3 linked regions of the Kluyveromyces lactis genome follow. The protein of the gene in region 3 interacts with the protein of the main gene of each other region in a pairwise test. Links are inferred from orthologs where the notes say so. Each region holds a gene or a part of one and is shown on either strand. Other genes may lie near its edges.

Region 1 (3,100 bases), on a different chromosome or scaffold from region 3:
TACATCTACAAATAAATCTAATAAATATGTGAGCATCCCCGGCGTTTTGCGCAGAGAAGCTATAATGCTTCTACGTTACTTTTATGTTAGAGAAAATGATAGGGCACCCAAACCACGAACAAAGAAAGATAGAAAACTGGATAAAGAGACCTTCCCTCCACTACAATGGGATAAGTATTTAACGCTCGAAGAGTTTGAAGATGAATTTGGCCAGGAGTTTAGAGATGCATTTTATTCGCATAGAGACGTCTACGATGAAATTGATTGGGATCTCATAGATACTGGCTGCGATGAAAGTTTTTTGCATGACCTGATTGAACAGGTGCAGAGTGTTAATTGTACTTATTGAGTTTGACACAATTAAACAATTCCAAGTTTTAGTGATGCTCACAACATGATGGATGTACTCTCTTTCTGGTTTTCGTTTTTTTTTTCATTGCATAAAGATAGCTAGATAGTCATAAATACTGAAACAAAAGTACAAACTTATTAATCGATGTCTCTACGTAATTGTTACGAAGCCTTTGTAGTGTTTTGAAACACAGTGAGAGGCTTCAAAAAAAAATCCAGCCGTCAGGCGCTTTCGAGACGTTCTTCGATCTTCGACCACTTCTCCACCATATCATCATAAAAATCAATATGTTTTTGAGCCAAAGCAGCTAACGAATCTTTCAATTCCAAAGTTTTTATTTGTTCAAACTGTTCGACCTCTTTGAGAACCTCTTTCTCAAATTCATCAGCGACTTGTTTTGATTTTTCGACTTCGTCCGTTAAAGATTGAACTCTGGTCTCTAATTTCGCTATCTTATCTCTTCTTGCCATTTCTTGATTGATACCAGCTAGTTCTTCCAGTTTACTCTTGAAATAATTTCCTGACCCATAGCCAGAAAGTAAATTATTCTTCTCATTTATGGATCGCGTTAGATACTCTGATAGCTCCTCGTAATCTATTTGTTTTTGATCTTTCAGCCTTATTAGTTGTTTCAATGCCTCGATATAGTTTATCATATCTTTAATATCAACGTTATACTCATAGTCAACGTATTTGTTCAAATCATTTAATGAATCTATCAATTGCATCGTTCCATCGTTAAAGGCTTTGATACTGTTTGATAGCTCCTTTTCATCGCAGCAAAGTTCTTGTAATCCTGATAAAGAGGATTGTAATTTCTTCAAATTCTGTCCGATCAGATCAACTCTTTTCACAGATTTATGGAATAGCTTGTCCAAATGGCTCAAATTATGGTCTAACTTTTCGCTCTTTTCCTTAATCTCGACAAACTCATCCCTTTGTCTGTTTACGTGTTTGAAAGCGTTTATCAAAACATCACTAACTTCAGAAGTGGAAATTTGCCCCGTCAAACTCCTTCTATAAACATCCCAATCTGTGCTGGTCAAAAACGTTTCCAAAATCCTGGATTTGGAAAGCTCTGAGTGACTCAACAACCTGCGCATGAACGTTTGAAGAGAACGACAACGTTTCTGAGTAAAAGAATGTGAGAATCTATCCCCTGAAAGATAATTTAGGACTTTCTTATCGGGTAATGGAGGAACAAGCAGTGCAGGATGATCGTTTATCAATATTTGATGTAGGAGTACAAAATCATTGTACCTCCTCACCACACAATTCGGTTCATCTTTGCCATCTATTTTCGTGGATACTTGATAGGTGATATATGTCTGCGAATGCGTTTTCTGTTTCTGAGGATCAGACACCAGCACACTTAATATTTTAGTATCTGATTCTTTATTTGTCAAAGTTCCTGATTCACTCATATTGCATGAGATATTATTCGTATTGCTGGCGTCAGTATATGACGGCTTCTTGTACAGTGTTTTACCTTCTATTTAGTGATCCCTTTTCTATCATATGAAGTTCTTCTGGTTTACTGTGTTTCCAACTATTTTTTTTTATTTTTAAGGTAACAACTCAATATAAGGTATAAGGATAGTTTAAGTTCTTTATAACCATGAACTATTCGGTCGAAATGTTTTCACGGTGCTAGTTGGTCCAACACATTGGAGTGCTAAGCTTTGGAGAACTATAATGTTAATTTACGGTTACGTTCTCTATAAATGAGTATTTAGAAAGATTCTTTTTCTATTTTATGTATCAATTTCGTCTATTAAGTCCCATACAATATCACTTGCGATCTGCTCATTGTAGATATCATTCAGAGTTTTGATATCTACATCTTTCGGTAGAAACTTGAGTTCCATGGCTTCTGTTATGATCGATGCAGTGCCTCCCTGGAATGAACTCAAAGTGGCATAATAACCTAGCCTGTTGTTGTTTACGTATTTATTTCTTATTTCGATCCCCTTCGTGACATTACGTTTATTCCAATGATGCAAATAAAACTTCTCATTGTACTGCAATTCGCTGAACGGAGGTAAGAATGGTGTAAGGCCTTCGAAAGCTATTCCATGGGAAACACCATTTACGAAAACTTCGAAGCTCGAGTTTTCAAGTTCGTAAAACTTTTGCATGTCGTCCCTGTTGTCATAATATTCCGGTTTTGTAGTTTTGACATAATCGGTACTTTCGTAAAACAATTGATTTTTATATCTGATGGCAATTTGATCTCTAACTACATTCGTTGGCTCGCATGAACGCAGTAAAAACTTGTAGAATTCCTTATTGAATTTCTTATTCCTTTTGTTGGTGCGGCTGTCGTCGTTGTTTAGCTCTTGGATTCGTTTTAAACTATAATCCATGGCTTGCTCGCTTTGAGACTGCAGGGAAGGTAAAGTCAGTAGAAATCCGATTCTATCACCTGCTTGCATCTCGTGTGGTTTCAAAACTGTATGCAAGCGGCCTTCGTGAATAACTTGCAATCCTTTATCTCTAATGCTATAACCGTAAAAATCACATCCGACTGGAGTTTCTGTTGATGCCTCTCTTCTGCTTATCCCGCATCTGATGTGTGATGTATCAGAAACGTTTTTCACCTCCACTTCCCAGTATATTTTTCCTTCTTTCATACAAACGTCGCTTCTAACGCTCCTCCACCCGCAGTTCTCGCTGACACTCACCGAATGGTCGTCCAATGAAAATGCTAATTTGTCGGATCTATCCATCAAATTGATAGAGCTTTTA
Region 2 (3,237 bases), on a different chromosome or scaffold from region 3:
GCCGAAGCCAAGACTGCTTCTGGTTTATACTTGCCAGAAAAGAACGTTGAGAAATTAAACCAAGCTACTGTGTTGGCTGCTGGTCCAGGTTTCACCGATTCCAACGGTAACAAGATTACACCATCTGTCCAACCAGGTGACCAAGTTTTGATCCCACAATTCGGTGGATCCACAATCAAGTTGGGCAAGGATGATGAAGTCGTTTTATTCAGAGACTCTGAAATCTTGGCCAAGGTCGTCGAATAAAGGTCTCGAACGTTACACCAGAATTAAATTTAAAGAACGATGTTATGAGCCAGTATCTTTCTCTGTTATTGATGATTGAATTTTGAGAGACGAAGGGAGATATTATTTATATAAATATGACTTTTTTTTGATGTTGGTAGTGATAAAACTCAATAATGTTGACCATTGTGCGTCACTTGGACTGCCTACTCACCCCATGTAAATAAATGTTCTAAGTAGGTCGTTGGATTTACTCCGGTTTTATTTTTTTTAACATACACTATTACTTTTATTCCAAAATTTTGATGATTTCGAACTTGGATTTCATTTTCAGTACGTAATTGTTTGTTAAAACTTACCTAATGGTACAAAAGTCAATGCATCGTGCTGCTCTAAGATATTATTTAACTGGTTTTTATCTTTACAATCGAGCATGAACCAGCCCTTGAATCTACAATCACCAATTAATCCTTGCCAAACCTTTGTAATTTTACCGTCGCAAGGTACTGTCTCTTCGGTATCTCTATCTTTGTATGGTTCCGACCAATTGATTCGCTTTGTCACCAACTTATCGAAAAAGCGGATAGATTTTTCATCTCCAAAAGCTACAATTATACCTTTGCCATTTTGAATGTGTAGACAGCATCCTTTCAACTTCAATTGCTTACCGTTGGTTTTGATTTTGTATCTGATACTAGGATTCTGTATTTCGTCAAACATGTAAACAACACACGTGTATTCTAGAGGACTATCATTGCTGTGTGCTTGTAACTGGGATTCCTTCCTTCGTTTCAGGCTTTCTTGATGCCTTATTTCATTTTCTTCGAAATGTTTCCTTTTCCTCTCTGCCACTTGTCTCCGTACGATGGATTCCCATTGAGTTGGATCCGCAATATTGGCATCATTCTCATACACATTCATCATATTCGATAATTTAACCTTGGGCTCTGGTTTTGGTTCTATACCAAGCTTGATTTTCTCCTCCTTCTCCTGTCGTACCAACTTCCTCGTATTCCTTCTGGCCTTTTTCCGTTCGTTTTTCGTTAAGAAAATCTCTGCCACTGGAACAGCTGCCCTAGGCCTTTCAATCGGTACCGGATGTTGAATATACCTAATACTTGGGAATTTATCTTGTGCACCTTCCTCTTCCTCTTCCTCTTCATCATCACTTTCATCGTCCGAATTCAATGTGGAATAATCCAAACTATATTTCTCATGGATGCTACCATCTTTGATATATGGAACATCCCACCATTCCACATCAGGAACGTCCGATAAATCGGTAAAATAAACTTCTTCATGCTTATCAGGTAGTTCCCCTATTTCTATTTTCCGTTCGATTTCCTGCTGTTTCTCCAGTTCAGCTTCCCATCGTATTCTTTCTTCTTCAGACTTTTCACGGTTCTCTTGTCTTAATTTTGCAGCATGCTGGACAACCTCTCCCGGTTCATACCAATGAGACGATACTCTTGCCTTTGGCTCAAAACCATGAGCCTGTACGTCTTGCAAGTATGGGTTTCCACAACGTCTACCTTGAAATCTCAATAAATTGACATTCTCAACACTCAATGCAGAATGCAATTTCCGATTTAACCCTCTATTAGTATTATTATCATTGCCCATTATATGATGATATGATTTTTGTACAAAGGGCCGATTATTCCAGACAATCCGTAGTTACTATTACACATCACCATTTGTCTTTTGTCCATCTCTTCTCTAGCATCGCAATGAACTCTCTCTCATATAGAATCTGAATCACATCTTCACTCTGTAACGCCTATGATGAAATTCACCATGCCCGGGTAATATATCCGAAATTGCACCAACCCCTGATTGTGCGTAGTGTATGGGTGGAAGCCAAAACAGCACAATTTTTCTGTTTTATGGGATGAAAAGAATTACATAAGCGGCCCCTAATTCTCGTTGTTTTTGTGTTCCTCGTGAGTTTCTCAACTCTTTGCTGAAAGGGACAAAGTTCAGTTCCCAGAGAAGGACTTAGGCGGGGAAATCCAGCCCAGGAGAAAGGAAAGCAGAAAAGCTGATGTGATTTTTAACAAGTAGTGTTGCTTTGGAGCTGGAAAAAGTCAGCATAGTAACGTGCGCATCATACACTCTGATTTGCAATGATGGTGCCTCGGAGGGGTGGGTGTCATATGTGGGGCGTGATATCTTACCGTTGGGTATAAATAGTAAGAGAATAAACTCTGGCTTAAATTATTGTTATAAAAGGCTAGCTTGAATATATAGTTAAGGATACCGATCTTAATTCATCTCGTACTTTCCAACCGAAACAAGACTAAAAAGTGAAAAAACATACATAGCTAAGGATAGACTTAACATAGAAATATGGCACATTCTTCTGGTATTCGTAGACCAATTCAGATTCAAGAGTTCGTGATTGCTATTAGAGAATCGTCTGAGCATGAATTACAAGAGATCAGAAAAGAGATCAATAATGCAGTGAAGCATTTACAAAGATCTAACAGAAGGTTAGAAGCGTACGTTGCCAAGCTTAAGGGTGAAGAGGTATTGAACAGACAAGAATTGGACGCGGAAGGGAATTTTTCCGATGATGATATTGATGAGAAGGATTTGCAAGTATTCCAAGACTCATTAGCGGAAAATGGAAAAGTATTGGATAATTATAACGAAAGGCTACAAGCTTTGGACCTAGAAGAACAGCACAGGGCTAGCACTGTATCTTCCGGTGACATCCAATCGGCGTCCACAAAATTAAAAAGATCTTTGCAATCTCAAGGCCGGAGAACCGTTGGCGTGGATTCAGATAATACTGCTGATGCCACTGGTTCCAATAGCATTAACTTATGAACCCATTCCAAACAAAATATATATAATGTACTCATATATTGAAGTATAGTAAAAAAAAAATGAATGAAAGCAAAAATGCATGTTTAAAAGTGTGGGCTGGTATGACCTCGGAAAACTGTATACTTTCAGAGATGAATAAACGCACCCGTTCTGGTTTCTTTCTCTTAGTTTCGGGCTGGT
Region 3 (3,263 bases):
TTTTAGTCAATGATCATACAGGCAAATCACATCAAGTCGCCACTATTCAATTAGATTTTCAATTGCCAGAAAGATTCGATTTACAATTCAAGGACAAGGATAATAGTTACAAGAGACCTATCATGATTCATAGGGCTGTTTTCGGTTCGGTGGAAAGATTCATGGCCATTTTAATTGATTCAAGCAAAGGTAAATGGCCGTTTTGGTTGAATCCAAACCAATGTATGGTCATCCCAGTGAAGACTGAAGATGAGAAGATAATGGAATTGGCTTTCAAGACAGTCAACTCATTACGTGGTGAAAATAGTGATCCAAAAAGCCCAATTCCACTCAACAGCTTCCATTTCTCTGTTGATATGGATGCAAGAGATGAATCTGTAAGTAAAAGAATTAGAGAAGCCATCAAGAAGCATTATTCTTATATTATAATGATTGGTGACAAAGAAGTTGAAGCAGGCAAGGTGGCGATTAGAACCAGGGAGTCGAAGAAAGTGGATTTACTAACTATCGATGATGTCTTTGAAAGGTTCGTCGATCTTGAGAAAAATTATAAATGATACCTTGCAATTTTTGAACCACAGAAAGTAATGTTAACCATAACGATGTAAAAGATAATTTATACCTGTAAATATGTATACTTATGTATCAATAATAACACAATACCGTCAATTCGGTACATTATGTATGCTATATTCGAAACTATACATCGATTCCATATCGTCGATATAACCTGGCCAGATGTTTTCGGGAAGATAGTCACCATTTTCAAGTAAAAATTGCTGGCGTTGGTCCAAGTCAGCATCACTCAGTGCCTGTAGTTTCTCCTGACATTCCTTTAATATTTTCTCCATTTGTAACGCAGTGGCTTTCCGTCTGTCTCTTTCTCGTAGAAGGTTTTTATACCCTAATTTGAACTTATCGTAAAACTCACAGAGTTGTTGCACTTGTTCAATCTTTTTTATGCAAGATTCCTTATAAACGAATACTAAATTAGCAATCTTTTGGAAGATAGATAAGTATTCCTCACATTTTTCTAACTCTGTCACAATCTTGGAAGCCAGCAGATGGAATCCACCAATTTTGTCCATTATTTCACTTATTGTTTCATTGACTTTCTTTGAGAAAGCTTTCACTTCAAGTCCCGTTTCGAATACTAATTCCCTTATATTTTCTAACTGTGTATCGTCTTTCTTTACAATCTGGAAAAGTTCCTTCAAATCTGGTAGTGGAATCTGCTGTTCCTTCAATATCGTGCATTTGTCGAAATGATCAGTGATTGATCTCAAGAAATCGGCAAGTTCATTCTCAAATTCGTTCAATTCAGTGACATAATCACTTTCCAACAATTTGAATAGATTATTTTTGCTATCCCTGCTGAAATGTGAATCAAAGTAAGTTCTGAGTTTTTTCAACTTTACAGCCACTAGTTGGTTTTCTATTCGATCTTTTATCGATTTGTAGTGTTGTCGTATGTTTGTCACTTGTTGTTTTATAATAGGAATCTCATCGATTTTTTGTTGTAGTATGTCTACGTGATCCATGCATATGAAATCTGAAAGGCTACTGTGATCGTCAGTCAAGTCGTATTTTGTACCCTGCAAGATCTTCATCTTTGTTGTTATCTCGTTTTGCCAATAACTCACGTCATTGACTATCTCGACTAAAACCAGCTTTGACCATTCATTGTCAATCAACTCTGTAGAAATACATTTCTCGAGCATGATATTCTTGAAGAACTCAACCTGGTTCACCAAACAATTAAGTATAAATTTAAGTTTAAATCTGGACTTTTGAGAGCTGTCCATTTCAGTTCGCACTTTAGAGAGGATTTTTAATGATTCTTCACATTCGACTTGAGCTTCCACAAGCTGGTTTCTCGCCTTATTCCACAATTTATCTATCTCATCACTGGGTATAGTAGTTGCAGCATCACTCATTTCTTGTAGACGCAGTTCAGATCAACCGAAAGATCTTCATCTCTTCAACGTTTCCAATTTGAAACCCTTAAACGGTCAATTTCACTTCGAAGACTGAACTTCAAACCTTTAAATCTTTTCAAAGTATGAATAAATACCTATTAATCGGAGTAAAGATTGAAAGGAGTATCAGTCACTCCAAGTCAGCTATTACTACTCCAGTGATTCAGTATAGATGTCAGAACATATCAGTGACGATGATCAGTTCAAAAGAAGAAAGATCAGTATGACAATGAATAGTATGGTATTTACCGATCCATATGGATATAGCGATGACAATGAAGAACAAAAAGAAGAAGAAGACTATGAACCGGTACGACAAGCCAACTCCAATGATGGATTGAAAAGCGACCAGATGTTAAAGACCTATGGTATGGGTGCCAAGCTTTTATCAAAAATGGGTTACAAACAAGGTGAAGGTTTAGGACGAGATGGGAAAGGTATAGTGAACCCAATCGAAACAGTCACTCGTCCTAAAGGTGTCGGATTAGGGATGTTAAGTGCAGTACATGATAGAGATGACTCCAACTATAGTAATACTTCAGCATCATCAGATGAAAGTTCAAATAAAAAGAAAACAGTGGAGTTTAAGACTCGTCGTGCCACCCAGCTTGAGAAATTGATTCAAAATATAAGTCTCCTTGCGGAATTAAAAATAGAACTACCTGATACGGTGACAAGAACAATCAATGGTTCTGAATTACATGAAGAAGAGATTTCCTCTTTGAATGAAATTGCTAATAAGCTTCTGCAGCTTCATTCGGACATAGATAGAATACAAGTTGGCTTGGAAAAAGCTCAACTAGATGACGAGCGCAAAGTACACCAAGAGGAAAGGCTACAAAGTGTTTTAGAAAAAGTCAAGGAAAAACAACTTTCGCAACCAAGTCTTGAAGATCAGATTACTGAATGCCTAGAAATAAATGACGATGACATACTTGATAAGCTCTGTACCATGTTCTTGCTCAAAGAGCTTAATCGTGGAATTAATACGGCAGATATGCAGGTCGAAAAGTTGAACCATTTGAGGGCAGCAATAAGGTTTCTTTCATATAGAATGGAATCTGGATATATTTTGAACGAAACACAAAGCAGCATTTATAGGTTGGTGTATCAACCCTTATGTTATTGGTTAGATTCAAATACCGGATATTCGAGGATGCTACGTCAAATAACCGTTCAGTATTTACCTATTATTGACTTTATTAGCTGCAGGGAACACTTCCTTTCCCGCTACATTATGCCGGCTCTCGAAATACAACTTTCTCCTCAATTTCTGTCAGATGA

The links.
Region 1: the proteins of ATG17 (region 3) and SNX4 interact in a two-hybrid assay, tested with the Saccharomyces cerevisiae proteins (2 studies listed by BioGRID). The link is inferred for Kluyveromyces lactis from reciprocal best matches to the Saccharomyces cerevisiae genes ATG17 and SNX4.
Region 2: the proteins of ATG17 (region 3) and PRP3 interact in a two-hybrid assay, tested with the Saccharomyces cerevisiae proteins (2 studies listed by BioGRID). The link is inferred for Kluyveromyces lactis from reciprocal best matches to the Saccharomyces cerevisiae genes ATG17 and PRP3.

The regions. Positions count from the first base shown.
Region 1 is NC_006039.1:941,988-945,087, reverse strand, and holds SNX4 (Snx4p), read right to left. Parts: upstream 1,777-3,100; coding exon 574-1,776; downstream 1-573. Other genes in the region: TAD2 (tRNA(adenine34) deaminase), read left to right, coding at 1-349; BRE2 (Bre2p), read right to left, coding at 2,107-3,100. UniProt on the Saccharomyces cerevisiae protein: Sorting nexin, involved in the separation or division of vacuoles throughout the entire life cycle of the cells.
Region 2 is NC_006041.1:826,855-830,091, reverse strand, and holds PRP3 (U4/U6-U5 snRNP complex subunit PRP3), read right to left. Parts: upstream 1,849-3,237; coding exon 574-1,848; downstream 1-573. Other genes in the region: HSP10 (Hsp10p), read left to right, coding at 1-246; TMA17 (Tma17p), read left to right, coding at 2,575-3,057.
Region 3 is NC_006040.1:232,055-235,317, reverse strand, and holds ATG17 (protein kinase regulatory subunit ATG17), read right to left. Parts: upstream 1,938-3,263; coding exon 666-1,937; downstream 1-665. Other genes in the region: threonine--tRNA ligase MST1, read left to right, coding at 1-557; mRNA splicing protein SPP382, read left to right, coding at 2,152-3,263. UniProt on the Saccharomyces cerevisiae protein: Autophagy-specific protein that functions with ATG13, ATG29, and CIS1/ATG31 in response to autophagy-inducing signals as a scaffold to recruit other ATG proteins to organize pre-autophagosomal structure (PAS) formation.